Linked DNA regions of Diceros bicornis minor. The main gene of each other region encodes a partner of the protein of the gene in region 3 in a complex. Links are inferred from orthologs where the notes say so. Each region holds a gene or a part of one and is shown on either strand. Other genes may lie near its edges.

Region 1 (7,469 bases), on a different chromosome or scaffold from region 3:
CATAAAATTATTAAAAAAAACAACAATTAAAATTGTTAAAATTAAGAGACATGGAAAAATGCTGAGTTATATTTAAGGACTCTGAAAAACTATAAGAGACACACTAATGAAATGTTGGAGGGGCAAAAGAAACTTTAAGGGAAGAAAATTGAGAAATGAAGAGAGAATCACAAGTGAAATGAGACATGGGACTAACGCGATGGATCCCTGGTACTGGAACAGTCACTAAGTCATACCTGCAGTGTAACAGCATTATGTAGGGCCTATGGAATACCACGGGGCACTGCATGGCAAGATCCTGGGGATAAGACGGAGACATAGTGAATCCACAAACTGCTGCCATGCTAGAAAGGCTTCCCTCCACTCACTCAGTATTTGCCACCCTTACTCTATTAAGAGAGCTGCATACAGAAGAACCTATGGAGAAGACATATGTAAATACAACTCAAAGGATAGAAAAGTTGACTGAAGGGAGGGAGAGAGCCATGAAAATTACGTGGAGGAAGAGTATTCCAGGTAGCAAGTGCAGAGGCCCTCAAGCAGGAGCATGCCAGATTGTTCCAGAAACAGCAAGGGGACCCGTGCAGCTGGAGCAGAGTGAGTGAAGGGAACATGGTAGGAGTCGAGGACGGAGAGTCAGTGAGTGGAGGGACAGATTATGCAGGTCTGTGTAGGCCAGTCTGAAGCCTCTGGCTTTTACTCTGAAATGAGAAGCCCCTGGGAAGTTTAAAGCAGAGACATGACCTGATGTGAAATATGTTAATTATGCTATGTTGAGACTAGACTGAGCGGGCCCAGGTGGAAGCAGGCAGGCCAGTTAGGAGGGTATTATAATATTCACAGCAAAAAATGATGGTGGCCTGGACCAAGGTGGGATGTGAGTGAGAGTGGTGGTGAGAAGTGGTGAGAGTCTGGATACATCTGGAAGAGCTGACATATTAGATGTATCCCATGAGAAAAAGAGAGGAGCCAAGAACAGCTGCAAAATTTTGACCTGAGCACCTAGAGAGATGGCGTTGCTGTTTACTGAGATGGGGAATACTTTGGAGTAGTTTGAGGAGGAAGATCAAAAGTTTAGGTGTAGACCTAGCTTTGAGACGCCTAGCAGACATCCAAGTGGAAGTGTGGGATAGGCAGAGGTACACATCTGGAGTTCAGAGAGGTCCAGACTGAGATAAGCATTGAGTCGTCATCAGCATACAGCACATGGTTTGAAACAAAGAAACTGGAAAAAGGGAAGAGTTCTGAAGACTGAATCCCAGAGCTCTGCAATGTTCAGAGGTCAAGGAGATGAAGAGGAACCAGCAAACAAATGATCTGCAAAGCAATGCAAAAAAAATTAGGACAAATTACTCGTAGAGAACATGTAATAGCTTGAACTTAGGTAGCATTCTCATATAACACATTCCATTTATTCTACTGATACATATTACAAAACGGTTCCTTATTCATTTAGTATTTCCAATGCCCATTAAGAATTCACAGGAACAGGCTTTTGACAGAATCTGTTTATACCTTCTGCAAACTGCATTTAGACCCAAAAACTATATTTGTTCTTAAGAGTTTGATTATTAGTTTCATTATGTTATCAGAAAATAAAGAAACTATTGTCTTTACTATGAAATATGTAAAAATAAAATGCAATAAAACGTTATTAATAACAAATTAAGATCTGCTAGAATCACAGATGTGATTACATGGAGTTCAGCTAGTAATGATTTACAAGTTTCTTTTGAGGCTAGATAAAAGAATGACCACTCTTCGGGAGAAAATGAAGTGGGAGGTACAGGAGCAAAGAAAGAAAGAAAGCAGAAAGGTGCTGAAAGTATATCAGCCTAGTTAGAGGCAAAGCTGGAGAATACTCTTAAAGGGAAATTATAATAATCGTTAGGAAGTAAGCCCCAAAATGTTAAAGGTGGAAGACTTCATTTAAGTCTTCTCTTCTCTTGTCCTTTTGGGGTAAAAAATGCTGTGGAAATCCAATAAGCATTGAGGGAAGGAAACTGGTTAAATAAATTATGGTGCAAGACAACAATGTGGAGTACTGTATAGCCATTAACAGTCATAATTGAGAAGCATACTTGATAACTCAGAAAAATGTTTACAGTATAGTGTTAAGAGAAAACAAGATTATATAACCATATGTAAAATACGTTAATTTTCAAAAATCTACATGCATAGAAAAACAACTTCAAGTATATGCAACAGTTGATGGGATAATAACAGATGATTTTATTTTCTTCTGGGTGATTTTTAAAATTTTCCAGGTTTTCTGTAATGGATAAGTATCTTGTAAAAAAAAAAAAAAACAAAGCGAAAACCTAGGAGCTGCTAAAAGGCTGGTGGACTTCAAAGCCCAGAGAATGAAATCAAAGCAATTTCATCTTTGATCCAAGGGCTGCTCTGTGTAGCTCTATAGGGGACAGGAAGGATTTTTCTTTGGTTAGGTTTGGTTATCATAAAACCAATATGGAGAAAAGAAGTTGAAAAAAGTCTGATCAGAAACCAACATAACAAAATATTAATATATTATTAAATTGGCAAAAACGTTTAAAATTTTAAGAGCCAGTACCCAGAAGGAAGTGGCAAAATATTATACACACACATATATCTTCTTATCTACTACAACCATTCATATCTATTAGTGTTGATGCATGTTAGCACATCTCTTTCTGAAAGCAACTCAGCAATATGGATGAAGAACCATAAAAGTGCATGTTCAGAACAGTACAGCTACTGTGGAAAACAGTTTGGCAGTTTCTTATAAAACTAAGCATACAACCACCATTTGACCCAACAATTGCACTTGCGGGCATTTATTCCAGAGAAATGAAAATTTATGTTTACACAAAAACCTGTATATGTATGTTTATAGCGGCTTCATTAGTAACAGCCCCAAACTGAAAACAACCCAGACGTCCTTCAAGGGTGAACTGATAAACAAACCACGGATATTCAGCAATAAAAGGAACAAACTATGGATACACGCAACAACTTGGATCATCTCCAGGGAATTATGCTGACTGAAAAAAGCAATCCCAAGAAGTCGTATACTGTATGATTCCACTTTTGAATGATTTCCACTTTTGAAATAGGAAAGTATAAAAATGAAGAACAGATTAGTGGTTGCCAGGGGTGAGTGAGAGGGAGGTGTGGCTGTAAAAGGTCATCTAGAGGGATCCTTGTAGTGATGGAAATGTCTTGCTTTTTGACTGTATCAATGTTAATATTCTGGCTGTGATATTGCACTAGAGTTTTGCAATATGTTACTATTGGGAGAAACTGAGTAAAGGGTATTTGGGATCTCTGCATTATTTCTCCCAACTGTGTGTGTATCCATAATAATATCAAAATAAAAAATTTACTTAAAAAAAAAGTATGTCTTCTTTTGTCCAGTTATCACAAATCTGGAAATCTGTCCTAGAAATATAACCCAAAAGAAGAAAAAACGTTAAATGCACCAGATGTTCACTACAACTGGAAAGAAACAATCTAAGTGTCATGACGTAGCCACTCGAGCACTACGCACTCGTTTGATGCAGCGACAAAGAAATGTTATTTGAAAGGACGGAATTCAAAATTGCGGTACAATATGATAGCTCTGTGAAGGGGACTGCAGTATATCACACAAGTTTTAACAGTAGTATTCTATGTGGATGGAATTGTAGCGGAAATGTTTTCCTTCCCTCGAACTTTCCCTCATGTTGTTAACGTGGTTTTCACATGGCTTGGAGGGTGGGGAGACTAACAGTAAAGAACATTCTTTATGTTAAATTACAAATGTCAGAGTCACGATAAAAGTTCTTTAAATTCCTCTCGCAGTAAAGCAAACTTCGTTTTTCTGGTTCCAAGCTTGGACCAAGAGCGCACCAAGGCCTGCAGTCATGAGCCCAGGGCGGGTATCACTGGGCACCCGACGCTGCGCCCACAGCCGACCGCAGGACGCCCCCAAGGGCCCAGGGAAGAGACCCCCAGCGAGGGCGAAGCCGCCGCCCAGAGCTGCGGTGACCACTCCAAGGTCACCATCGAGCCCGCAGCCGCGGCTCGGCCCGGCCCAGTTCCCCCTACTCTGAGTCGGGTCTTGCTCTCCGCCCCCACTTCTCGCCCCACGCGGAGCCGCGACCCCACTGATCTGCGGCTCCGCCGCAGAGAATCCCCGCATTGCGTCGGAGGGGTGGGGGCAAACGCCGCTAGACTCTGAGCTGGTCGCCTCCATCCCCGGCCCCGGGCCCGGGCCAAGCCCTCCGGGGTCTGCACCGTGGCGGAACCTAGACAGCGCCCGCTTCTTTTTTCGCCCTCTCAACCCAGCTTTTCCCGACTCCGGGAAGAACCGGGAAGAGAAGGCAGAGGGGCGCGCGGCGCCGCCGGATAAATACTGTGGCCCGGCCCCGCCCCCCGACCTCACTTCCGCCCGGCGGCAAGATGGCGGCGCTCGGACCCTGCCACGCAGACTTCCGCCTGGCGCCGGGGCCGAGGTCCGGCTGCGGGCCGCGTTGGAGGTGAAGTCTGGGCGCGCGTGGTGCGGACCGCAGCCCGGGTGCGTCCCTGCTGCTTTCTGGCCGGGGGCCTGGGGAGAGCGAGCCAAGCGCTCTGGCCGGGGAGGTCCGAGGAGTCTCGCCACGTGGGAGGGGAGGAGCAGGGACGCTGCGGGAGGGACGCACTGACGGGGGGCGGGAGGCGATGTGGGTGCGGTTCCGCCCTGGGTCCGCGTGGCCGCCCCCTCGAGTGACTCCATGGCCCCTTTCCCCCCTCTCTTCCAGGCAAGATGTCAGAAGGAAACGCCGCGGGCGAGCCCAGCGCTCCGGGAGGGCCGCGACCCCTCCTCTCGGGGGCCCGGGGGCTTATCGGGCGGCGGCCGGCGCCTCCCCTCAGCCCGGGCCGCCTTCCCTCCATCCGCTCCAGGGACCTCACCCTCGGGGGAGTCAAAAAGGTACCCGACGGCACCTTTCAAAAGAAACCCGACTACCTTGAGTTCCAGGCCCCCGGGGTCCAAATAATGTTCATGGACTTTCATGGAGGGCCTACCGCGTGCCAGGCGTGGTGTTGGGCCCCACGAATCTCGTCGCCAGATGCCGCCTACAAATTCTGGGAGCCTGACCTACCTTTAAGTTTAGATACTGGGTACAAGATGTTGACATGGTTCTCGGAGATGGCTGAAGGGCAGAGAATCCTAATTAGTTTAAAAGCAACATGAGCAGTCTTTATTTACTTTTTGTGTGTGTTTTGGACACCATTAAAACCTATGTAAGCCTCGGTGGCATAATACATTTTGCCTGCAGATTTAGAGAGTTCTGAATTCGCTATGGATCCCAGTGTGCCAACCGCTGTCCTAGAGTATGGTGATTCCTAGGCGTGGCATTAGAGGCTCTGTGTCTTCTCCTGTTATGTTGACGACTGTAGATGTAAAGGGTGGCCCTGAAAGGGGGTAGGGAATGACAGAAGTGTAGCTCAGCCAGTTTTGAAAGGCTTAACTCTGCCTTGGGGAATTCTGGTGGCAGTCTAACCCTGTCTGCGGGTGCTGGCAGATCTGTCTTCCCTACTTGAGCCTTGCTGCTAGAGATCTTTGCCTATGATACTGACTGGTCTCTATAGCAGTTTGAAAACAGGAGGTGAGACTAGATAAGTTACTTTGCTTTTAGAAGTCCTGAGGGCTCTCCTTTCAGAGGACAGAAGCTGAGGCTGTTAGTTTAAATGGGTTTTGGTGCCCCTTGCTTCTGTGTGTAACTCCATTGCCACCATGACATGACGTTCCTCCTTTTCAAGCACATGTCTATCTCTGTAAATCTTTGGCAACGGTGTGGAATGTGCAGAAGAGAGCCATGGTGGTCTTGGTCCATAGAAGATGCCTTTGGGAGTTTTTCTTTTCCTCTATACTTTGAAATCAGAACTTACCAAATCAGTGATTCCTGTATTTTACTTTCAGAAAACCTTCACCCCGAATATCATCAGTCGGAAGATCAAGGAGGAGTAAGTAGCCAGGTCTTCTGAATACTCACCCTTTATTTACTTGCTCTGAATTTGGGCCTTTGGGGAAATAACTAGGTATGTGCCTCAGAAATTTAAATTTGTGTATTTAGTTCTTATCACTAGTGATTTTCAACCTAGGCTACCAGATAATTCTAATGTGCAAGCTTTACAAAAATACTGATGCCTGGGAGTCCATCCCTATAAATTGTGATTTAACTTAGTTGCAATGAGACAAAGTGAATATCTTTTACAGCCAGAGTTGAGAACCACTAGTTTAGACAAAGGTGTATCATGTTTTCCCTTAAGTTCTTTTGCATCACAGCCTTCCTGCTTTCAGTCAATACCAAAAAATCCGCATTTGGGGACAGTCTCTATAATTCAACTTTTGAGTTATAGTTCTAATATGTATTCTCAAACAAGAAGGTAAAGTAAAGCAAACTGAAAGAGATCTGCCCCATCAAGGAAGTGAAACAGGTGCTAGATTTAGGATTGGATTCTGCTTCTCATGATGTAGTTATTGGGGCATAAACTCTCCACTCAAGTGCAGTGGTGTGGGAGAGTAAAACCACTTCTCTGAGGCAGGGTAACTGAGTGGTTTTTCTTAATCCATTCTCTTTTCCAGGCCCAAGGAAGAAGTAACCATCAAGAAGGAGAAGCGTGAAAGAGAGAGAGACCGACAGCGAGAGGGGCATGGCCGGGGCCGGGGGCGCCCAGAAGTGATCCAGTCCCACTCTATCTTTGAGCAGGGCCCAGCTGAAATGATGAAGAAAAAGGGTACAAAGCTGCCAGGGCTCTGGGAGGAAGGAATGGTGGATTTCAGTTCAGACTGTCCAAGAAAAGGGCAAGGGCAGAATTCCCCTGCTCCCAGTTTAGTTTTCCTTGCTGTTGGCCTCTTCCTTACCCCTGGTGAACTGGGTGATCTCCCACAGGGAACTGGGATAAGACAGTGGATGTGTCGGACATGGGGCCCTCTCATATCATCAACATCAAAAAAGAGAAGAGGGAGACGGATGAAGAAACAAAACAGATCTTGCGCATGCTGGAGAAGGATGATGTAGGTACCAGCAGGCTGGGGGGAGGGGGCTTCTTTGTGGCTGTGAAAAAGGGCTTCAGGGAGCCAGGGTCGCAGGAGGAAGAGCTCTCTGATGTCCTGGAAGCCTGGTAAGCAGCAGGAAGCTTCGGTTAGAAAGGGCTAAGATGCGGGCCAGCCCGGTGTGCAGCAGTTAAGTGCGTGCGCTTTGCTTTGGCAGCCCTAGGGTTCACAGGTTCGGATCCCAGGTGCACACCGATGCACCGCTTGTCAAGCCATGCTGTGGCAGCGTCACATATAAAGTAGAGGAAGATGGGCACGGATGTTAGCCCAGGGCCAATCTTCCTCGGCAAAAAGAGGAGGATTGGCATTAGATGTCAGCTCAGGGCTGATCTTCCTCACGCACAAAAAAAGGGCTAAGGTGGACTGCAATCCAGGTACATGTGCATGCTGGCCAGGCTGTGTGACCCCT
Region 2 (6,878 bases), on a different chromosome or scaffold from region 3:
ATATCCTCAGTAAAAAACAAAAAAACAGGGGTCGGCCCAGTGGCGCAAGCGGTTAAGTGCGCGCGCTCCGCTGCGGCGGCCCGGGGTTCGCTGGTTCGGATCCCGGGCGCACACCGACACACTGCTTGGCAAGCCATGCTGTGGCGGCGTCCCATATAAAGTGGAGGAAGATGGGCACAGATGTTAGCCCAGGGCCGTCTTCCTCAGCAAAAAAGAGGAGGATTGGCGGATGTTAGCACAGGGCTGATCTCCTCACACACACACACACAAAAAAACAATGTCTTGTAGTTTTAACTCATATTTCTTGCATTTTGAGTAAGAGTCATTCAATCACTCAACAAATATTTACTGAATACCTATTATGTGCCAGACATTGTTCTAGGCACTGGGAATATTCCAGTGACCAAAGTCCCTGCTCTCACGTAGCCTCCGTTTTAGGAAGAACACACAAACAGTATACAAACAAATAAGTATATACATTCTGTCAAGTGGTGATTGAATGCAATGGAGTAAATAAAGTGGGAGAGAAGGTCTGCTCAGGAAGCACGTACAGGGGTGGGTAGAAGCACATTCTCATATGTTTAAAAAACATTCATATTTCCTCTCCTATAAAATGGCCTTTCACATCCTTTGCCATTTTTCTATTGGGTTATTACTCTTTTTGTTATTGAATTGTAGAACCTCTTTATTTACTAAACAATTTAAATATTAGAGAATTTGGATACCATATCATTTATATCATCATTTGTCAATAATCACCCAATTTCTTCTAAGAGTTATGGCCACATTTATTAAAATTAGTATTTTGGCTTGAAAATTTTTAAAAATATTAGCTTTTAAGATAAAGGGAAATATAGCATAACGTAACATATTCTTAGTTGGAACTCTCAGTCTAGGAAGTACAGACACCACCATAAATATAGATAAATAGTTTTTACACATATCAGTTATTGAAATATTTAATTGGAATCTCAAAGGTTTTTAAACAAGTATTTGTTCATATGTTTTATCTATAAAACTTTCCCTTCTCCTTATGTTAATTATATGTTTTTTTTGGGCCGGCCCCATGGCTTAGCGGTTAAGTGCACACACTCCGCTGCCGGCGGCCCGGGTTCGGATCCCGGGCGCGCACCGACGCACCGCTTCTCCGGCCGTGCTGAGGCCACGTCCCACATACAGCAACTAGAAGGATGTGCAACTATGACGTACAACTATCTACTGGGGCTTCAGGGAAAAAAAAATAAATAAATAAAATTTAAAAAAAAATTATATGTTTTTGTATACATACGTATGTAGATATATATATATATGAATGTGTATACATATATATATATTCCAGCATTACCAGGAAATACAGTCACTGCTTTATTTCTGTAATAATAGTTAAGATTTGTTTTGGCATTACTATGTGCCAGACCCTGTGCATCTCACATAAAATATCAACTCATTCAATCCTTACAATGGTTCTAAATGGTAGATATTATTATTACTGTCTAACAATGAGGAAACTGAGACTCAGAAAGGCTAAGTATTGAAGGTCACTAGAAGTTCTCAAAGCCAGGATTCAATCTCAACCTGTCTGACTGGAAAGCCTTTGTTTCTAAGTCAAATTTACTATCCCAGCAAAATAAGAAGAATCCTGGGAAAGTTTGGGGAAGCACGGGGACATCTTACCTTGGCTAACGTGAGTCAAGGCACTGCTGCAACTATATACCTATACAAATGAAACACTGGTCAAAGCTAACCTCTGTAATCTAAATACACACCATTCTATCAACCACCAGGTACAACACTGTTTCAAGTTTTGGAAGTTTTACAAACTTCCTAAGGTCCTGACCATAGAAAGCACGCAAAGAGGTAAATCAACAACCAGATGAACATAAAGAGTACAGTAAAATTATTTTAAAGGATTTCAAGTACATTTGATTCTTACCCGATTTCATTTCCAAAAGTGTATTGTTATCAATTTCATGGTTGGCTTTTCCAGGCTGAGGCACTCGCAGTGGTATGATCTGAGGGACACACACTGAACCAGCAGTCATTTTCCCTCCTTACATTAAAAAAAAGTGGATGAAAATAAATTCCAATGGGCACCTATATTTGAACACAAAAGCTGAAGAGAAGCACCTCATTTAAATACAGTAAAACTAGCAAAAACTAAAAAGAATACTGTTAATACACCACCTACAAATATTATTCAATTTTTAATTGAAATAATTGTTTCAGGTCTTGTGTGGGGTTTTGATTCTCTAAATACTTGCCTCACTTCTGGGAAAAGAGTACGAATAAACGGGATGGGGAAACGGAATTATCTTAAATGGGAAATTAAATGAATGTGTCAGAACAGAGACCATCACTAACGATGTGATCTGAGCTCCCTCTGGATCATTATCACCCTTTCCTGCCTCTTATTAGTGTGCCACCTCTCTTGGCTTCAGGGCAAGTCATCACACAAGAGGAACAGAAGTAACTCTGTATGTAGCATTAAACGTTAATTTAGAGCCAACTCCTTTGGGAAAGCTCCAAGTTCAAGGCCCTGCAGCTGTGGCCAAGTGGTTCTTGCATTTCAAAGCTGCAAAGAAACTCTAGAGGGATGGCCGAGTATTATGCCTCAGCTGACAGCAAGTTGGCGTCGATATAAACAGTGAGCAACAAACACAAAAGTCTCTCACTCCATTTTTGTATTTATAAATAATTAAGTACGGGTATGGAGGCCTTATTGATCTTTCTCCTGGGGATAGGGGGCGGGGGGGGGGGGGGGTGAGGTCATAATTTTTAATACATAAAGGATTCAGGGGGAAAAAAGCGACCCTCACCTTAATACAGCAACCATTTACATCTCTGTATGGCCTTTTCAAATTTCAATGATTATGGATGTGTAGGTTTTACTCAGTTGTACTCTAAATATTCATTCAACTTTTCTTAGTGTACTTCTTGCACCTCACTCTATCATTTATAATTTTCCACGTATTTACTTATCAATTTGTGGTTGGGGACTTAGGCTATTACTAGTTTCTTTTTAGTTTTGGCTGTTGCAATTCTAAATAATGCTGCTCTGAACATCTTGGGATTTGAACTTTGTCACAGACTGTATTCCCAAAAGTAGGATAACTAAATTTAAGGAGTGAACTTAATGCCTGGTTGAATAGTTTCAGACAGGAGGCCAAGAATTTCAACTGCAGATACTGATAGTAGAGTAATAGCTCCTACAGAACGGGGGCTGGGCTCAAGGGGTGCCCTTCCTCATTCTTCCATTTAAGTGAGAGGCAGTTAAAATAAAAATAGTTGAAAAATTAGTTCAAACTAAAAATAGTTGAGGAATAAATAATTCGCGCGGCCACTAGGAGCTGCCCTTCGGAGGCTTCTGCGGTCAGTGGCCCCAAGCGACGGGGATCAAGAAGTAGGCGGATCGGCTACGCCCAAACGACAGAGTGGGATCAACAGCACCGCCCACGTCTCAACTCCCTCCATCCAGACTACCCCTCACCGCCGGGATCCGGAACCCCGTGTCGTTCCCGTCCCCGCCCACCAGGGGCAGCTAGGGACGCCCGTTCCCTTTCGGCTGGACTAAAGGAGGCCCTCCTCCTCTTCCTCCGCCGGCCACCAGAACCCGGATAGGGACCCCCGGGGTACCTCCGGCGCCCGCAGGTAGGGAACGCACCTCTCACCGCCTCTGGCCTTTTCCTGCATCGCAGTCCGGGTTACCACAGACGCTGCGAGCCGCGCCCCGCCCACTGCGGGGCAGGTGATTGGTGGAAACCCGCTTCCTAGCAACCAGCTCCGCCCCTGCCGCTTGGCCAGGGCTCCTTTCCTAAGGCTTCACCGTAGGCATCCGGGAATATGCCTTCACAGAGGCTGGAGAGTGCTTAGAGGTGGAGTCCCAACTCAGAATGGGAAAGCCATGCTCGTTCATCTGAAAAGCACTGACATTGTGGAAAACAAGAAAAAGATGTTAGCGGCGCGGGCAAGGGAGGCGAAGCAGGCGCGGCTTGGCCACCTCAAGCCGACAGACAAGGAAGGACCGGCTGCGACACGAGGAAGAAGGCCCGTTGCCCGGGCCGGGTGCTGTCTTCGCTGGTTCCCGGGTTCTCCCGCTGGCTCTCCGACCGCTCCCTGCCTCTCCTCCCCCAGGGACCGGGAACTGCGCCCTCATGGCTGAGGTGAAGGTGAAGGTGCAGCCGCCCGACGCGGATCCGGTGGAAATAGAAAACAGGTAAACCACTGAGTGAGGCTCGGTTCCCGGCTCGGGAGCCCCCGCAGCCGGACCCATTCTCTTGGGAGCCTGGGTAGATACCAGAGCAAGTTCCGTGAGCGCGCAGGAGAGGGAGTGCGGGATTTGCCGCCCACCTCCACCCTCAGAGAGCAGAACTCTTAAGAAGTTCGAAACGGATTTGACGGTTTGCAACCTTGTGTAGCTGACCTTGCCCCGAGGCTGTTCGAAAAGTTGTGGTGATGCACTTCCTTCCTACATTAAGGTGATGGACGCTCAGAGAGGACTTGGCGTTTTTTCTGTAGTACCTGTGGATACGTGTTCTGATCCAGGATCGGTCTTGTAGCTAAGGGAACTCCCACGACAGAACGTTTGAGCAAAGTTAGGGTGCAGTTTGCGATTACGAAGCATCATAAGCCAAATGGTTTCGATGCAGTATTTAAGTCAAGATTTTAGGGCACCTAAAGGCTCTCCCAATTTTATATGCTCTATCCGTGTACTGCAATTTTTACGTTACTACATAGTTTTAGAAGACCCCAACTTTCTCAAACTGTTAGGAATAAGACATATGATGATCTTATGACAAGGTGAAGATTCGGGCTTATTTTTGTTTGGTAGGGATAATTCCGAAAACAGGCCCCAACTGTGATGAATTGTCGTAACAAATCTTGGGCTTCCCATCAGAAGTGTCTGATTCGCCTCCTGCTTACAGACTTACGGTTATCCAAGGCACTGTGTCTTAACTTTGTCATACTTGCTCCTTCTGAGAAAATTGAAGCCTCGGTTTTAATATTTTTTTCTGTTTTCATTTGACTTTGTTCTAATTTGAAGTTCCTATGGGTGAGGAAAAGAAATAGTTTCCTTAAATAACAATAATAATGTAAATGTGTATTTTGAAAGCATCTTCCTCAATTTCTAATATGCTTTGATTCAGAACCATCATAGAAACCCAGATTATCTGCCAAATGTGAAGAAAAGGCACAATTTCAAACTGTTTTGCTTGTATTTTTCTCCCACTGCCTCTTGAAATAGGTGAAAACATGAATAATATCATTAATGCCTTTGTTCTTAGAATTATAGAATTATGTCAGCAGTTCCCTCACGGAATCACAGACCAAGTAATTCAGAATGAAATGCCTCACATAGAAGCCCAGCAACGGGCAGTGGCCATCAATAGACTGTTGTCCATGGTAAGGTGAATCCAACTAGTTCACGTAATTATTTATATGTTATGATTGTCATTACTTCTATTATATAGTCATGAAACCATTCAAAAGTGTGTTAGGTTGTGACTTTGATAAGACTGCAAACTGGGAAACAGCTCAGATTGCCTAAACTGAGGAAAGAAGAAATAATTACACATCGTTTTACAAGATGAATGAAATAAATGTATTTTGCTTTAACTGATGTATTTATTAATCTGTCATTAAGAAACATAAGGACACATAAGCATAGTCTGTTCTTACCTTGTTTGCTTCCTACTGCTAGTGTTGGGCCATTCCCCATGAAATATTACCCTCCTGATTTTTCTGACAGTCATCACAGAGCCAGTTCATTAGGATATTACTCTCCACATTCTCACTCTGAGCATTTCAGGAGGCAAGAATGAGTCTGGTTGAATGTCAACAGTGCTGGGCCTCTGGGAGGAGGTGGGCTCAGCTCCCAGTGACACTGCATTGGGGTTTTTCAGTGACGCCCTCTACCTGCTCTTACCTCTTCTGCTCTCCTGGGGCCCTAATGTCATTCTCCTTCAACTGTCCAAACACATACCACCTATTGGTACTCCGTGCGCTAGATCTACCTATTTCTCTTTCCTTTCCCTCATCATCAAAATCCCCACATTCTGAGAGCATTTCAGTCTGGTTGTAGTAGCGATTAGGTAAAGGACCAAGGACTCATCTGAAGACTGATTTGCTTTTTAAGCTTTGTTGGATTTCTAAGGGCTCTGATATGGAGATTTGAGGACAGGTGAACCTTCTGTTAAACCACTCCCTTTAAGCTTCTAGCACAGAGGTTGGCAAACTTTTTCTATAAAGTGCCAGATAGTACATTTTTTCGGGTTTACCGACCATATGGTTTCTGTCACAACTACTCAACTTGGCAAGAAGTAGCTGTGGACCACACGTAAACACATGGGCATGGCTGTTTTCCAGTAAAACCTGATTTACAAAAACACAGGGGGCTAGGTTGCCGACCTGTGTTTTAGCCCAAGGGAAAAAGGAATGTTGGTGATTTCTAGTCAGTTCACTGTGGTGAAGGTCTTCAGCTCCAGGAAGGGTAGAGGGAGGGATACTGGAAGGATGTAGCAATGGAAGATGTTTTTTGTCTTCGGACCGCCCTTTCAGCCCTTTCCTTTCTGTCAAAATGATCCTCGGCACCTCCCTCTTTCACCACCTCTGCAGCCCCGCCTTCTGCCAGTCCTGTTGGCTGTAGGAAGTGGTGGAGCTGTTGAAGAATTTTAAGCAAGAAGTAATTGTTAATAAATCACAAAGTGTTGCTGATTTTAGCTCTTAAACAATTGTCAAATTTGTCCCCACCCCCCCATTTCGATTCCTGTTGCCCTTGCATGTATTCAGACTCTTGGCTTTTACCTGGCCTATTACAGTGCATCCTAACTGACTTTCCTGGCTCCGTCTGCCTCAGAGCAGCCATCCTGTCTTAAATACAG
Region 3 (6,859 bases):
ATAAGTGAAAAATATATTGAAGACACACACACAAATTCATGTATAGATGTGAAAGTATAAGAGATAGATTGGAAGGATACACATCAAATGCATGATAACAGTTATAGCCAGGGAGGATGTTTGGGAAGGGGGATTTATTTTCATTTGTAATGGTTTAATTATTTTTAAATGGATTTTTAAAAGGACAACATATTCATACCATTACCTGTGTAACTTTTAACAAAACGTATATACGTTAAGAAAAGGATTTGAAGTGAAATGACACAATATTAGGTGGTGGGAATATGGATGATTATTTTTTCTTTGTTTTTCAGTATTTTTAAATATCCATATACATCAACATGGATAGATATTTAAAATATATAGTCGGGTAAAAAATAGTCAATTGCAGATCAATACTAAGCATGATAATATTTATGTAAAAACCCACACCAATAAAAACAAAACCTCTATTTTCTATGGATGCATATACCCATGCCAATATATCCATATAAATTCACAGCAAAAGATCCAGAAGGATATATACCAAGCTGATGATAATGGTTACTTCTATTGAGGGAACTTAGGATGGGGGTCAAAGGTAGAAGAGCATTTGTGCGTTGTCTGCAAAGTTTTAATATTTTGCAAAATTTCACGTATTATTTGTGTAACTAAAAATTAAAACATAGTTTTTCAGAAAAACTGCCGAGACCAGCTCCCCTGGTTTGTCCTTGGGATCCCCTGGTGCGGGTTACTTCCAGAATCCATCATTTCTGGGAAGATACATAACCCCCAGTACAGTGGGTTAACCTGAGGTCTCCGAGGTAAACACCCGACTCAGAATACAGACTCTTCAACTGCTCTTCGCTTTAAAACCTATTTGGAACAAGCCTGGGTCTAAATATTGGAGCAAACATTTTTTAAAAAATACATGGCATGTTCTAAATAGTTCTATCAAGATCAAATAAAACATATTAAACAAAGAAACTCCAGGAAAAAAATGCACTGCAAGCGCATGTAATGCCATTAAATAGACGCCTGGAAGACTGCTTCGTCAGCTAGGTAGCGTGGCCGAGCGGTCTAAGGCGCTGGATTAAGGCTCCAGTCTCTTCGGGGGCGTGGGTTCGAATCCCACCGCTGCCAGTGCTAGCTTCTTTTGTCGCTGTTGCCTTGGCACCCGGCTGTTCTCGGCTCTGTTTTGCCGGTGCATGGGCGCCCCCTGCCGGGCCGGGCTGGCGGGCCCCATGAATGGAGCGGCGGAGGGGGCGGACCGCGAGAGCCGGGGCGGCGCATTGTGGGTAAAAGGAAGCGCGAGGGCCGGCGCGGCTCCCCCCACGTGTCCGCCGGAGTTTCTCCAGCAGCAACATGGCCGCTGCCTGAGAGGAGAGCCGGGCCGCCGCCGCCTCTGCAGCCCGCGGGTACCTGGGCCGTTGCCGCCGCCCGCGCGCGCGGGCCCCGCGGAGAGGTGAGTGCCGAGTTGACAGCCCCCGCCCGGGCTTGAGCCGGGCCGCACTCACGAGGTGGGCCCGGGCTGGGCTGCCGAGTAGGCCGGGAGGCCCGCGCCGCGCCGTGCCCAGGGACTGGGGGCCTCCGGGGCCGGGCGGGAAGGATGGGCAGCCTGCCCCAGTAGACCCCGGCCGGCCGCGGGCTCCGACCTGGGCCCGGCCCGGGAGTCGTGGGGGCCGCAGCGGAGGCTGCCGGCGGTCGTGACTCAGGGTCCAGCCGCCGTGCCCCGCCCGGCCCAGATGGGCCTCCTGCAGGAGCACCTGTCCCAAGGCAGCCGGCGTCCAGCTGGCGTGGAGACTTGTGGCGATGGCTGCGTGGTGGGCGTGAGAAGGGGGCCTGCCCACCCGCGAGGGAGGCGAAACCCATTGGACAATGTGGCTCGGGGCCGGCGGCCCGCCCTGATGGGCAGGTGGAGGGTACCCGAGCCTGCCTGGGCCCCCTCCTCGCCGCTGAACCAGATCAGCCTCCGCCCGGCCGGGCCCGGGATTCCTGATTCATTTAATGAAGTCACCATTCAGTGATCATTGGGAGCCAACACTGCCGCGGATACGACCCTAACCATTTGGTCGGAGGAGGGGTCAGTAAGCACGTCAAGTAAAGCAGTCAATAAACAAGGTCGTTCTGTTATGTTAGCTTTAGAATCGTTGGTCTTGGGGGCAGGAAGAGGAGATCTTAGCAGACGCCACGGTTTCTTCATCTGTGAAATGGGGATAGTAGAATTTCCTACCTCATAGGGTTGTGGTGAGGGCTAAATCGGCTAAGACAGGAGAAGCTCCAGCTTGCAGCATTTGATTTCTGGCTAAATCTCATACCCTCTTAGAGTAAAAGAAAATATGTTGCCAAGTAATAACAAATCCTCCCACAGGTTACATTTATCATCGTGGTTAATCCTCACCACAGTCCTCTGGGGGTCGATACTTTTATTATCCCCTTTTTAGGGATGAAAACAGTGAAGGATAACCAGCATCAGACAGTTCCGAGTGGGCCACAGATGGTGGGTAGCAGACAGGGGATTTGAACCTTTGCAGTTCTGCTCTGGAGTCCAGGCTTTTACCCACTATACCATACTGCCTTTTATTAGGAACATGTGCAGCATAGTGGTTAAGAATGAGAATAAGGATCTTTGACGGCTAGACTGGAGAATCTGGCTTGCCATTCTCTAGCACTGTGACCTTGGGCAAGCTACTTACTCTTTGAACTTTAGTTTCCTCGTTTCTTAATTAGGGATGATAAATCTTGATTTATAGGGCTATTGAGAAGATTTAATGAGAATGTATGTGAAATCCATAGAGAAGGATCTGACACTCACTTAAGGGTTAATTAGTTCTTCTTGTCCCCTAGGCCAAGTCTTCCTTTAACAGATGTGGAAACTGAGGTGACCCAGCGAGGGGAAATGCCTTGTCCAAGGGGTACACAGCCAATTAGAAGCCAGGCCTTGAGACCATTTGCCCTGGGGACTTCTCCCCTTAACTCCGTTGTATTTTGTCCTCTCAGACCTCCCTCACTCCCTCCAACAGCTGGAGATCCGTTTGGAGTTGCCTCTGCTTTTCTGATTGACTGACAGGTTAGATTCCTGGGGGCAGCATGGATGCACCCAACTGTGGCATCCCCTGCTCTGGACCCCTCCTTAGCTCCACCTGGTGTCCTTGTCTCCTTTCCATTTGTTGAGCAGCTCCCTGTTGAGGGAAGTTTCCTGTGCCTAGGGCCATGGAGCCGCTGCCACAGAGTAGCCTTGTGGCCACAGGACCCCTGTTGAGGCCAAGGTGGTCATTGCTATCAGAAGAGCTTGGCTCATGGTGGCTGGGAGGCCTGCTCTGGCCTGCGCCACAGCCCCTGTCTGTTCTTAAGTGTCCATGTGGCCCAAACTATGAGGCCCCCGGTCTCTGGATGGGGCTGAGTTAGGCTCACTGTGTTGAGGTTCTGTGACCTCCTGATTTTAGACACTCATTCACTCAGTTATTCTTTGCACTATATTGAGTGTCTGCTTCATGCCAGGCACTGTTCTAGGTATGGGAACATAGTGTGAGTTTGAAAAAAAAAGAGATGATAATCCCCATAACAACTTGATGAAGTAAGAGTAGTTATCTCCACTTTATAGTGAGGAAACTGAAGCACCGAGAGACGCTCACAGAGCTTATTTCTAGTGCAGAAGATAGACCACACATAAGCAAACAGACTAGATAGTTTCAGATTGTGATAAGAACCACGAAGGAAATAAAATCAGGAGATGTGGTAGTGATTGGGAAGGGGTTGTGAGTGGGCGGGGGCTCTTTAAGATGGGGTGATCAAGGAATCTGTCTCCTCCTGGAGGGGGTGGTGGTGATAGCTAATGAAAAGGAGCCAGCCTTGAAAAGACCTGGGGAAAATAGATGTTGTGCAAAGGTCCTGAGGCAGGCTGGGGCTTCGCCTGTTGGAGGCCCAGCAAGTGGCCACCTGGCCAAGTGGATGGTGAGGTAAAGCGGGGCAAGATCATGTAGGGCCTTGGGGCCATGGAAGGGAGTTTGGATTTTATTGTATATGACAGTTGAAAGGTTTTGAGCAGGGGCATGATGTGATTTACTTTTTTACAAGAACAACTCTTGGCTGTTTCTGAAAGGATTGGAGGTGGGAGAGGGGCTGCAGAGAGACTTGTGGTGCAGTACCTTTCAAATTGCAGTTTGAGATTTATTAGTGGGATGTGAAATCAGCTTGGGATTGTAACCAGCATTTTTAATTTTAACGAGCAAGAGTAGAAAACGTCGCTGCATCACATGTAGTAGAGACAGTCATGGCTGTGTGAAACCTTGTTTTAGTTACATAATTGTTGTATGTTCTGGGTTGCTTATGTGAAATGGACTTCTTGCTGTGGGTCTTAGGCTGAAAACTTTGGAAGCCACTGAGTTGGCTGATATTGGGTGGGAGGATGAAGCGAGGTGTTAACCCCTGCCTTAACCCAATCAGATGTACTATCCAGAGGGAGGGGCTCCAGCTCAAGGTACCTCATCCTCCCTGAGCGCCTCCGTGACTGGGAGAGGCCAGCAGAGCACAAGAGCCGGAATGCCTGTCTCTGGGAGAATAGTTGCATCTTGGGAACCTCCCAGGCCGCACCCTCTTAGTACATATGATCTGTTCCCTGGCTCACCTGGAAGGCCCCAGTCTCTCAGTTGTGCACAGAGCCAGCCGTAGAGAAGGTAGGTGCTTGACGTACATCTGTGGTCTTGGCAGGCAGTGCAGAAGGGGTGGGGTCTTGGGCTCTCCCATCCGTCACCTTCTGTCTGGGGCTTAGAAGCCACCTAAAACTGTCCATTTGGGGCTTCTAATTTCACCCAGTCTTCCATCTCCTTACTGTCGCTGTGGCCTGCTTCCCTCTAGTCTGTCTTTTTATCCCCTCCAGATTTTCCTCTACTCAGAATCCTTTGGTAGCTCCCTATTAAATAGCATTCCTGTGATTCATATTTTCAGACAACAAATATGTGGTGAGTGCCTGCTGTGTGCTAGGCACTGGGGGTACAGCAAGGGACCAAATAGATGCTAATCTCTGCCTTCCTGTAGGCACTTCCAACTTAGTGGCAGTGGGGCTGGGGACAGATAATAAACACAGAGCTATAAACGGTCACATGGTGATAGGTGCTATGGAGAAAGCCAGAGCAGGGAAGGGAGTTGGTGGGGCGGGGTGCAGTTTTGAGTTAGTTGGACAGGGAAGGTCTTAGCCATGAGGTGACATTTGAGCAAAAACCGGGAAGAGATGGGCCGGCCCCGTGGCTTAGCGGTTAAGTGCGCGCACACTCTGCTGCTGGTGGCCGGGGTTCGGATCCCGGGCGCGTACCAATGCACCGCTTCTCCGGCCATGCTGAGGCCGCATCCCACATACAGCAACTAGAAGGATGTGCAGCTGTGACATACAAGTATGTACTAGGGCTTTGGGGGGAAAAATAAATAAATAAATAAAATTATTAAAAAAAAAACAAAAAAAAACCAGAAAGAGGAGGAGGGATCCTGAGGTGACCGGAGGGTAGACCAGTTACAGAGGCCCAGAGGTGGGGTGGGAGGGGGGAGGAGAGAAGAGGGAAGGAGGCCCGTGGGAGATGAGGTCTGAGAGGTAAAGGGGCTGGGGTGGGGGTGGGTCGTAAAGACTTTGGCTTTTATTCAGAGTGTGATGGGAGGGAGGCCTTTGAAGATGGAGGAGTGACGTGATCTGAGGTGGCTTTCCAAAGGATCACTGGCTGTGGGGTTGAGCCAAGATCGTAGGGGGCAAGGGTGGAAGCAGGGAGACCAGTTAGGAGGCTGTTGCTGTAATGCAGGTAAGATATGGAGCTGGCTGGTCTGGGGCGGTGGTGGTGAGGGGGCCAGATTCCAGACATCCTCTGAAGAGAGAACTGACGGGATTTGCTGGTGTGGGATGAGAGGAGGAGAAGCATCAAGGATGAGGCCAGCATTTCAGCCTGAGCAGTGTGAGTTTGGAACGTGTATCTGGAGTAAGTGAGGTGATTTCAGGTGGTGGTGCACGGGCAGGGGGCTTAGATGACATTGAATGCCACCCATGGTGAAGGAATATTTAAATATTAAATAGCTCAAATGTTAAGTAGATAAGATAAAAGTCATGATGGTCTTACTCGAAAGTAGAGGTCTGGGGACTGCTGAGATATTAGGGTGCCCAGGCGCCTTTCTAAGGAAGGGTCAGCCCAGCTGAATTAGTTCCCCTCCGCCATGGAGACCTGCAGCCTTCCCTCCTCCAGGTACTTGAGTGCTTCCTGTCACCTGAAATCCCTCCTCCCCTCTGCTCTCGTGGCTTGTCCTAACCCTTCAAGGCCCAGCCCAAACGCCCCGCCTGACCCCTTCCCTTCCCTCTTCTGAACTCCCCTACCTGTACCTGCTGCCTGAAGTCGGATGGCCTGGCTTTGAAGTCCAGCGGGTCCTCTTACTTGCTGTGTGGCTTTGGGTAGGACACGTAAAGTGCCTGCGAGTTCCAGTCTCCTCATTATAAAGTGGGGACAATCAAGCCACTCACAGGGTTGTGTGGGACACATTAGAGAAAAGTATGTAAAGAGGGTCATTTTCAGACACACACACACACGTGCGCATACACGTGCACACACGCACACACACACGCACGCACACACACACGCACACACGTGCACACACGCACACACACACACAGAGGAGAAGCATCTCACTCTGGGTTGGGCTTCAGGTCAGCTTGAAAATCAAATACCAGAGACAGAGACAGCCTGGAAAGCCGTGGGACCATCTGCTCGTCCTCTTGGACGCGGGAGTCTTTAAAGCTTCCCCATGGCCCCCAGTTAGTTCTCAAGCGTTTTCATTGTGGCTGTGGACCCGCCAGCCTCCTTCCTGCCTGGCGGTGAATTCTTCTTTGTGAGTGGTCAGAAAACACTTA
Region 4 (7,948 bases), about 17 Mb from region 3:
AGGCCACGCTCTGCTCTCAGGTAGGCCTCCAGGGTGTGTCCCTCCCGCTCTCCCGCAGCTGTGGCGGGCACTGACAGGCCACTCTGCACAGGTGCACTGCATGGATGACGTGTGCGGGCTCCTGCCCTTCCTTAACCCCGAGGTGCCCGACCAGTTCTACCGCCTGTGGCTGTCCCTCTTCCTGCACGCTGGGCAAGTGACACCTTGTGGGCCGAGCAGGGATGGGTGGAGTGGACGGTTTCAGGGACCCCAAGAGTGGCTAGCCGGGGGTGGTGGAGGGGCGGCCTTCCCTGCTGAGTGCGCACTCCCCCAACAGAATCCTGCACTGCCTGGTGTCCGTCTGCTTCCAGATGACTGTCCTGCGGGACCTGGAGAAACTGGCAGGCTGGCATCGCATAGCCATCATCTACCTGCTGAGTGGCGTCACCGGTAACCTGGCCAGTGCCATCTTCCTGCCGTACCGGGCAGAGGTAAAGCTGCCCCCAGGGTGGGGAGCCCCGTATGCACCTACTGCCCAGCCTAGGAGCCTCTCCATTGGGCTCCTCAGTCCTGATGTCTCTGGGCCACGAGAACTGGGACGGGGACAAGGTTCTGGGTCTGAAGGGGCCTGCTCAGCCCCACCAGCTCACAGATGCCCACTGCCCCCAGGTGGGCCCAGCCGGCTCGCAGTTCGGCATCCTGGCCTGCCTCTTCGTGGAGCTCTTCCAGAGCTGGCAGATCCTGGCCCGGCCCTGGCGCGCCTTCTTCAAGCTGTTGGCCGTGGTGCTCTTCCTCTTCGCCTTCGGGCTGCTGCCCTGGATCGACAACTTTGCACACATCTCCGGCTTCGTCAGTGGCCTCTTCCTCTCCTTTGCCTTCCTGCCCTACATCAGCTTCGGCAGGTTTGACCTGTACCGCAAGCGCTGCCAGATCATCGTCTTCCAGCTGGTTTTCCTGGGCCTCCTGGCTGGCCTGGTGGTCCTCTTCTATTTCTACCCCGTCCGCTGCGAGTGGTGTGAGTTCCTCACCTGCATCCCCTTCACTGACAAGTTCTGTGAGAAGTACGAGCTGGACGCTCAGCTCCACTGAGCTGGCTGGGGCACTGGGGCCACGTGCTCCAGCAGGCTGGAGCCTCACAGGTCGTGGGCCTCCGCCTGCGCATCGTGGGGGCCTGTTCCTGGACACAGCTCTCTGTGCCTTGGTCACTGCTGTTGAACCTCGCGCACTTCTGGGCATTTATTACACTACTTCCCCTGGTTACCTGCTAACTAGTCTCTTGACGACCACCCCATGTGGCCAATAAATGGACCGGGAGCGTTTTAGCTGCCACTAACGTGACCAAGAGCTGCCTCCTCCTTTCTAGTTTCCGGCTGGGGGTTATGGAGGGAGATCCCACTCACAGTTCCCCAGAACAGGGCACTAAGTGTCAAATACACCTCCCCATAAAGTCCCTCAGCCAGGGGAACCCCCCTTGTGCCGCTTCCTCAAAGTAACTGGCAGGCGACAATGGGACAGGGCCCCGTGGATGCAATTTCCCCACACACCGAGAAGTGCCCCCACCCCAACCCTCCCTGCCCGGCCAGCAGCTCCCACTGCAGTCCCAGGCTGCCTCCCTTTCCAGGAGCCAGTGACAGCCCTGCTGCAGGTGAGCCCTGCACGAGGCCGGGCGGGGGGGGGCCCTCCACAGCTGTGCTCTTGGCCGCGGGCCTGTTTCCCCACAAGCAGCGTCAGAAAGCCCCCACTCTGCTACTTCCTCTTGCTGTCCCAATGCAGGAGCAGGGTCGTGTGGTGTGGGGTGTGGCATCTGAGAGCTCGGGCCTCGCCACCACCGTTCTCCGCCCTGGCTCCCCTCTGTGATGGGGCAGTGCCAGTTCCTCCTGCCCCAGGTACTGTGGCTTTTGGACTTTTTAAACTAAGAAACAAACAGATTTATTCTGTACACAGGGCCAGGCCCACAGCCCTGTGGGATTGGCCACGTGGTCAGGGTGTTTCGGCCCAGGGAGGTCAAGCTCAGGCCATGAGCACTGGCTCACCCGGTCCTAGTCCCGAGAGCCCAGGGTTCATGCTGACAGTTCCAGTTGGGCAGCTGGGGTGAGGCCACTTCGACACTCTTCTGTGAGAAAGGGACAGTGGCTCCAGACTTCTTCCTGCTGGGGAAGAGCTCAGCCACCAGCACACAGAGTCGTCCTTGTCTGGAGGTTCACTTTTGCCTCAGCTTTTTGATGAAGGACACCTCATCCCGATTCCGGATACCATAACTGAAAGAGAAGAAAAGCTGTCAGCTGTCTGATCCACAGAGGGGACGTTTGTGACCCCTCCCCTGAAGCCTGTGAGGGACCAAGAAAGAAGAGGTGGGAAGCATGTGGCATCCAGGAAGGCAAGGAGGTGGTAGTGGCTGTCCTTCCACAGACCCACACTGTACCAGCGGGCAGCCTTTCAACTCCATGGACACCCTTATCTCCCTCCTGCTGGCTCTGCAGCCCTGAACCGCCACTGTGAGAAGCCGAGGCCCCTCACCCCTGCTCTCCCTCTCCTTCTGCTGGCAGGGAGGCCCCGGAAGCTCCCTGCAGGAGGGTGTCAGTCCAGCCAGGGACTCTCCTTGTCTCACACACTCCCCAGGGACTGATTTATGATCCCTCCTTCCTGAGGGGCCCAGGCTTCTGGCCGAGCATGTGGAACTACAGGCAACAGTCCAGATGCCTCCCTGCAGCTCAGGATGTGGCCTGAACTCACTCTCGGAGCTTCTTCCTGTCCTCTGTGAGCTTCTCTCCTGCAGAGATCAGATGGTACGTCCTCCACACGTAGGACCTGCAAGATGGGGACTCAGGTAAGCCGTGAGCAGGGTGAGCTGGACAGCTGGGAGGCCAAAGCTGTGTGTGAGAAAGCCTCCAGGCGCTCGGCTCTGTAGGGACCAGGGCAGCCACAAGGGGGCACTGCTCTCAAAACGCTGTGTGGGGTGCCTGGCAGCCAAACATTCTGCTAATGAAACGGGAGGACTGACAGCACCCAGGTGAGGAGGGGTGGGGCTGCTGACAGCTGCACCATCCACAGCTAGGGAGACCACTTCCAAACACACTGGAAACGCCCCAGGTGTCCCCAAGTGAAGACCCACCCAGCTGCCTGTGCAGTGTGATATGGATGAGGAGCATCTGAGGCAGGACTCCCAGGCCCAGGAGCACCCACCCGCCCAACGGCTCGGGGGGAGCCCATCGCTCCAGTTGGTACACTGTAGTAGAGCCAGGTGGTTAAGAGCGCACATCCGGCAGGTGTGCATGTGGAGGCCCACATCAGCCCCCAGGAGGGCTGCAGGGACCCGCTGCTCCACTCACCAGCTGATGTGCTGAATGCCTCCTTCACGCTCCTGCCTGAGCTGCACGTATCTCTGGATGGCCTTCTTCAGATCCAGCACCGTGGCGTTCTGTACGACAACCACGGCTGCAACCGGGGGACACAAACGGGAAAAGATCCACAGTGGGAACACAGCTACAGCCTCAGATGACAGGAGAGGACTCAGAGGCCCGACTAAGGCTGAAATCCGGGCAGGGTGGGCTTGCGGCTGCTCCAACACCCCCCGGGCATGGCCCTTGCGTTTCCCACTGAGCAGCCCTGCTAACCTCTTGCCCCTGTGAAGCTCAGACGGCGCTGCCCGGAGGGAGGGGGCGGCACTTACGCATGACTTCTCCGTCCATCTTGCACACTCGGACTGTCATTGCTTGGCCGTACTCCAGTGCTATCTGGGAACTGACCTCTTCCAGAGTAACCTGGAAAAGACCAAGGGTGGATGGGGGAGCCCTGGCTCTCTACCGCCCCGAACAACAACCAAGAAAAACAAGCTGACAGTGTCCAAAAAGTGGGGCCACGCTTTACAAATACAAGAAAGGGACAAGGTTCTTACACGTTTCCCCACTTGTCACTCCACTCTCATGTTCCATCCACACTTTCTGTTTAATGCCTAAAGTGGACAGAGGCTCGGGAGGACGCAGCATAGACACAGACCAGGGGAACGAACCAACGTGAGGATCCACCCCGGGATCCTCTACCCAGAGGCTGGACAGTCCAGTATGAGAGCCCTGGATCGCCAGGATCCAGGCCAGGGCCTCGGGACAAGGCTGAGGCAGGTGTGCAGAATTTACCGGGGCGCCAAAAACATGGTAACGATAAACATTTCAGTGCAACTTTCAAGGAAATAGAAGTTAACTTAAAAACCCCATGATGGGCAAAGTGACAAAGACTTAAACGCAGGACGGTGCCAAACCATATTGAAACTTGAGAAGAGAAACCAGTAATACTGGTCTGGTTTTCATTTACAATTTTATTACTTTGTTTACCATCGGCTTTCCTACACTACCTTTGAGTTTTAAAAATGTCGTAGTAAAACATCCCGTCACCTGACCCCATGTATACCGGGTTTTTGGCGCCCCTCTGAATTCTCGCTCGCCCCACCCTGGGCCCGGCCCGGGTTAAGACCCCCCGCTGACGCCCAGAGGCGCCTTCCTGAGGCCTCCGCGCCGCAGCCCCAGCGGCACGTCGGGGGGCTGTCCACGCCCCGCCGCCCGCCCCCCGGCCCGCGCGCACCTGGATCGGGAGGTCGCAGAGCAGCGGGTCCTGCACCACCATGGCAAGACCCTCCTGGAACACGTCCACCGCCTCGGAGTGCGGCAGCGCCTCCTCTTCGTCCTCATCTTCCTCCGGCCCCGCCGCCGCCACCTCCTCCTCCAGGGCGCCCCGCCGCCGCCGCACCCGCCCGCACCGCGGGTCAGCGCGACGGAGGGGCGCGCGCGGGGACCGCAACCACAGCCCAGCCCGCAGCGTCCAGGGACCAGGCGGCCTGCCGCAGTGCTCGCTGGGAGCGCGAAATCGGCGCGTCCATTGGCGGGCCGAGGGGCGGGGCGGCCGCCAGGACCAATGAGAGCTCGAGGCGGGCCTGCGTCGGCGGGGCGCGGCGCGGGCGTCTGCTGGGAGCCGGCGGCTGGGCAGCCGCCATGCTGCTCTTCTGCCCGGGTTGCGGGAACGGGCTGATCGTGGAGGAGGGGCAGCGCTGTCACCGCTTCGCCTGCAATACCTGCCCCTACGTGCACAACGTCACCCGCAAGGTGCGCCCGCCGGCGTCCCCTGCGTCCTCCCTGCTCGCCCCGGGGTACCGTCGGGACCTCCCCCGGGCTCCCCGCGCTGTGTCCGCGGCAACGGCCGCAGTGACCTTGTGACCGTGAGTCGGATCAGGGCCGTCCTGTGCTCCGAGACCCGCGGCGGGTGCCCAGCGCGCCGGGGGGAAAGCTGAGGTTCTCCCGGGACCCCCAGCCTGCTCCTCTGATTTCGCGTCCTAATGCGTCCTCTTGACCCCCAGCGCCGCACGGAGGATCCCCCTCGTGCACGGGCACCGCCGTCAGGGCCTTTGCGCGTGTTTTCTGCCCCGTTCACCCTTCCCCGTGTCTTTAGTTAAATGATTACTTAAAATTGCAATCTCTCTCCGTATTTTATCCTCCTTCCCTGTTTTGTTTTTGCCATAGGCGTCATTGCGTTGTAATATAGTTTATATTTATGGGCGTTGTTTATTAATACTGGGACATAAACGGTAGGAAGGCAGGATTTTTCTGTCTCGTTTCCTCATGTTTTAGTCTGAACAATAGAATGGGACCTAGAATGTTCAGGACGAATGAAGCACAGTGTATTATTTATGCTTGTTATTTTCACTTGACAGTACACCTTTTTAGAAGTAGAGCACGTTGGTGATACCTCATTCTTAATGTTTGCATACCACTCCATGGGTCAGCTGCGAGGTGGAAGTTTAGAGTTTGAAAATATGGCAAGAGTGAACTCTTATGTAACCCTGAAATTTCAAGGATGTCGGGGAAAACTTGGGCAAGAAGCCAAGTGTGACCTGCTCTGAAAGCTCTCTGCCTCGGGGGGCGCTGGGCCACCCGGCCAAGTGGTGCTCTTTGACTTCAGTTGTATTTGTCTCTCTCATCTGGGGTTATCAAGTATCTTAGAGGTGTGGGGGAGGAGGAGGGTCACACCTAAGCCAATGTTTTCTTCCTGCTCTGGTGCTTCATCCAGCCCTGGCAGAGATCTTCTCTGACTGTCTCTTCTCTTGGGATCATCCCAATCGTGGATCCTCTAAATTCCAGTGGAGCGTCCTGCTCTGTGATAGCAGGAACTTTGTTTTCGTTCAGTATCGCTCCAGTCTGTGCTGAAGGAAGGAAGTGTGGGGAGACACTTGAGGTCGATATAGTTTGGTGTCCCAGGTTTGTGCTGTTCACTCACTCAGAGGCTGTTTGTTAGGTAACAAGTCGGAAGTACCCGAAGCTGAAGGAAGTGGATGATGTGCTTGGTGGAGCAGCTGCCTGGGAGAATGTCGACTCTACTGCAGGTGAGAGGGAAAATTTTTCTGTTACTGAGCTTTTTTTAAATATGAGGCTGCTGACTGTGCCACTCCACGTCAGGATCCGTGATATACTTAGATGAAGTGGGCTTCTAAAAATAAAAAGTGTGTTTGTTTTCTTTTTTAATAATTTATTGGTTACACACACAGTCTTGGCACAAGCCTTGAGTCATGCAGGCCTGAGTTAGAGCCTTGGGGTGACCTCGATGGGTGTCCCTTGACTTCTCTGGGGCTAATCTATACTCACAGATTATAAGAGCATAAAGTGAGTTAATACAGTGTTTGGCATATAACGGGTACTCAACAGGTGGTAACTATGATGATAGCAACAATGACAGGAGTAGTAAAAATCAGAGTCTAAGGAAGAAATTTGGTTTTTTTGTTCTAGCATAGATTTTTAAAGAGTTAATACCAGGGAACGTTAAACTGCAGTCTCAGTAAAATAAGTGTTTATCTCAAGTCTTGATTCGTTTCTGTTAGAGACAGATGTGACCAAGGAAGGAAGAGGAGAGCCCTAGATACAACTTGTACTGAGAGGAGAAGAGCTAACTCGTGATTAATGCTGTCTTTTTCCCTCATAGAAGAATATCCAAATCTGCTATGTTAAAAATTTAGGTTTGGCAGAATTTGTCATTAAAAGATGAATTATGTACCTAATATTGAAAATGTTGTTTGAGACTGTTTGAAGTTGTTTACCTCAAGAGCAGGGTCAGGTTCTCAAAGTGAAATCACTTTGAAAGTAAAGGTGTGCCTTGGGGCACTCTGAAAAGGTGTGGATGTGTGGAGGGATCTTGATAAGAACAGTCTGAGAAACTCCTGCCAGAATGGATTCCTAAATACAAGGGGAAGCGGATTGGTCATCTGTCGGGAGCTCCTCTGAGAAGACAAGAGGGCGTGTGCATTGCCCAGGTGAAGGAGATGCACTTATTAGGGGCATCTGCAGGGCATGGATACTGTAATGCATATCGCGCCATAAGTCACCTTTCGTGTTATGTTTCTAACCAGTCTTCAATCAGATTTGAGAAGAAAAGTGGGCCCCAGGGAGGGTAGGAGGAGTGTTTTCAAGGTCACAGTTCTCCTCTATTCTCTCAGTGTGAGAGCATAGTGAGAAGGATACCACTGTTTGTGGCCTTAAATTTTGGTACAAGGTATCCTGGGCAAGGGATGCCAGATGAGCAAGGGGGCGGGGTCTTTGCCCCCTTTCAAGTAACACCTGCTTCTAATAGATCTGTTGGTCACAAGCATCCTTTTTTTTTTTTTTTAATGTGGGTCAATTGTTTGCTTTTCTCGTTGCCAGAGCCATGTCCCAAATGTGAGCATCCTCGTGCCTATTTCATGCAGCTTCAGACCCGCTCTGCAGACGAGCCAATGACCACCTTCTACAAGTGCTGCAATGCTCAGTGTGGACACCGCTGGAGGGACTAGGGCCAAACTGGTCCAGCTGCATCAGTGTCTGCTTACCCTGTTGCAGGGTGGATTCCTATCCAAGAGTGTGAACTGCGTGTCCTGAGGGTCTTTGCTGGTGTGGGGGAAAGCTACCCCTTTCAGGATGGCTGGCCAGGATGTCAGGAGATGCAGCCCGTCTGCCAG

The links.
Region 1: POLR3E (region 3) and POLR3D share a complex: the UniProt entries of both Homo sapiens proteins name them as parts of the RNA polymerase III complex. The link is inferred for Diceros bicornis minor from reciprocal best matches to the Homo sapiens genes POLR3E and POLR3D.
Region 2: POLR3E (region 3) and POLR3F share a complex: the UniProt entries of both Homo sapiens proteins name them as parts of the RNA polymerase III complex. The link is inferred for Diceros bicornis minor from reciprocal best matches to the Homo sapiens genes POLR3E and POLR3F.
Region 4: POLR3E (region 3) and POLR3K share a complex: the UniProt entries of both Homo sapiens proteins name them as parts of the RNA polymerase III complex. The link is inferred for Diceros bicornis minor from reciprocal best matches to the Homo sapiens genes POLR3E and POLR3K.

What each region holds. Positions count from the first base shown.
Region 1 is NC_080750.1:71,627,146-71,634,614, reverse strand, and holds the start of POLR3D (DNA-directed RNA polymerase III subunit RPC4), read left to right. Parts: upstream 1-4,448; 5' UTR 4,449-4,537; intron 4,538-4,760; 5' UTR 4,761-4,765; coding exon 4,766-4,930; intron 4,931-5,923; coding exon 5,924-5,967; intron 5,968-6,589; coding exon 6,590-6,741; intron 6,742-6,896; coding exon 6,897-7,021; intron 7,022-7,469. UniProt on the Homo sapiens protein: DNA-dependent RNA polymerase catalyzes the transcription of DNA into RNA using the four ribonucleoside triphosphates as substrates.
Region 2 is NC_080758.1:45,144,209-45,151,086, forward strand, and holds the start of POLR3F (DNA-directed RNA polymerase III subunit RPC6), read left to right. Parts: upstream 1-3,875; 5' UTR 3,876-4,151; coding exon 4,152-4,213; intron 4,214-5,282; coding exon 5,283-5,400; intron 5,401-6,878. Other genes in the region: DZANK1 (double zinc ribbon and ankyrin repeat-containing protein 1), read right to left, coding at 1,934-2,042. UniProt on the Homo sapiens protein: DNA-dependent RNA polymerase catalyzes the transcription of DNA into RNA using the four ribonucleoside triphosphates as substrates.
Region 3 is NC_080765.1:31,057,300-31,064,158, forward strand, and holds the start of POLR3E (DNA-directed RNA polymerase III subunit RPC5), read left to right. Parts: upstream 1-3,851; 5' UTR 3,852-4,585; coding exon 4,586-4,655; intron 4,656-6,859. UniProt on the Homo sapiens protein: DNA-dependent RNA polymerase catalyzes the transcription of DNA into RNA using the four ribonucleoside triphosphates as substrates.
Region 4 is NC_080765.1:48,215,259-48,223,206, forward strand, and holds the start of POLR3K (DNA-directed RNA polymerase III subunit RPC10), read left to right. Parts: upstream 1-4,946; 5' UTR 4,947-4,961; coding exon 4,962-5,072; intron 5,073-6,258; coding exon 6,259-6,346; intron 6,347-7,655; coding exon 7,656-7,783; 3' UTR 7,784-7,948. Other genes in the region: RHBDF1 (inactive rhomboid protein 1), read left to right, coding at 1-20, 92-192, 317-470, 649-1,068; SNRNP25 (U11/U12 small nuclear ribonucleoprotein 25 kDa protein), read right to left, coding at 2,180-2,237, 2,713-2,787, 3,309-3,414, 3,650-3,740, 4,555-4,596. UniProt on the Homo sapiens protein: Core component of RNA polymerase III (Pol III) which synthesizes small non-coding RNAs using the four ribonucleoside triphosphates as substrates. Can mediate Pol I proofreading of the nascent RNA transcript.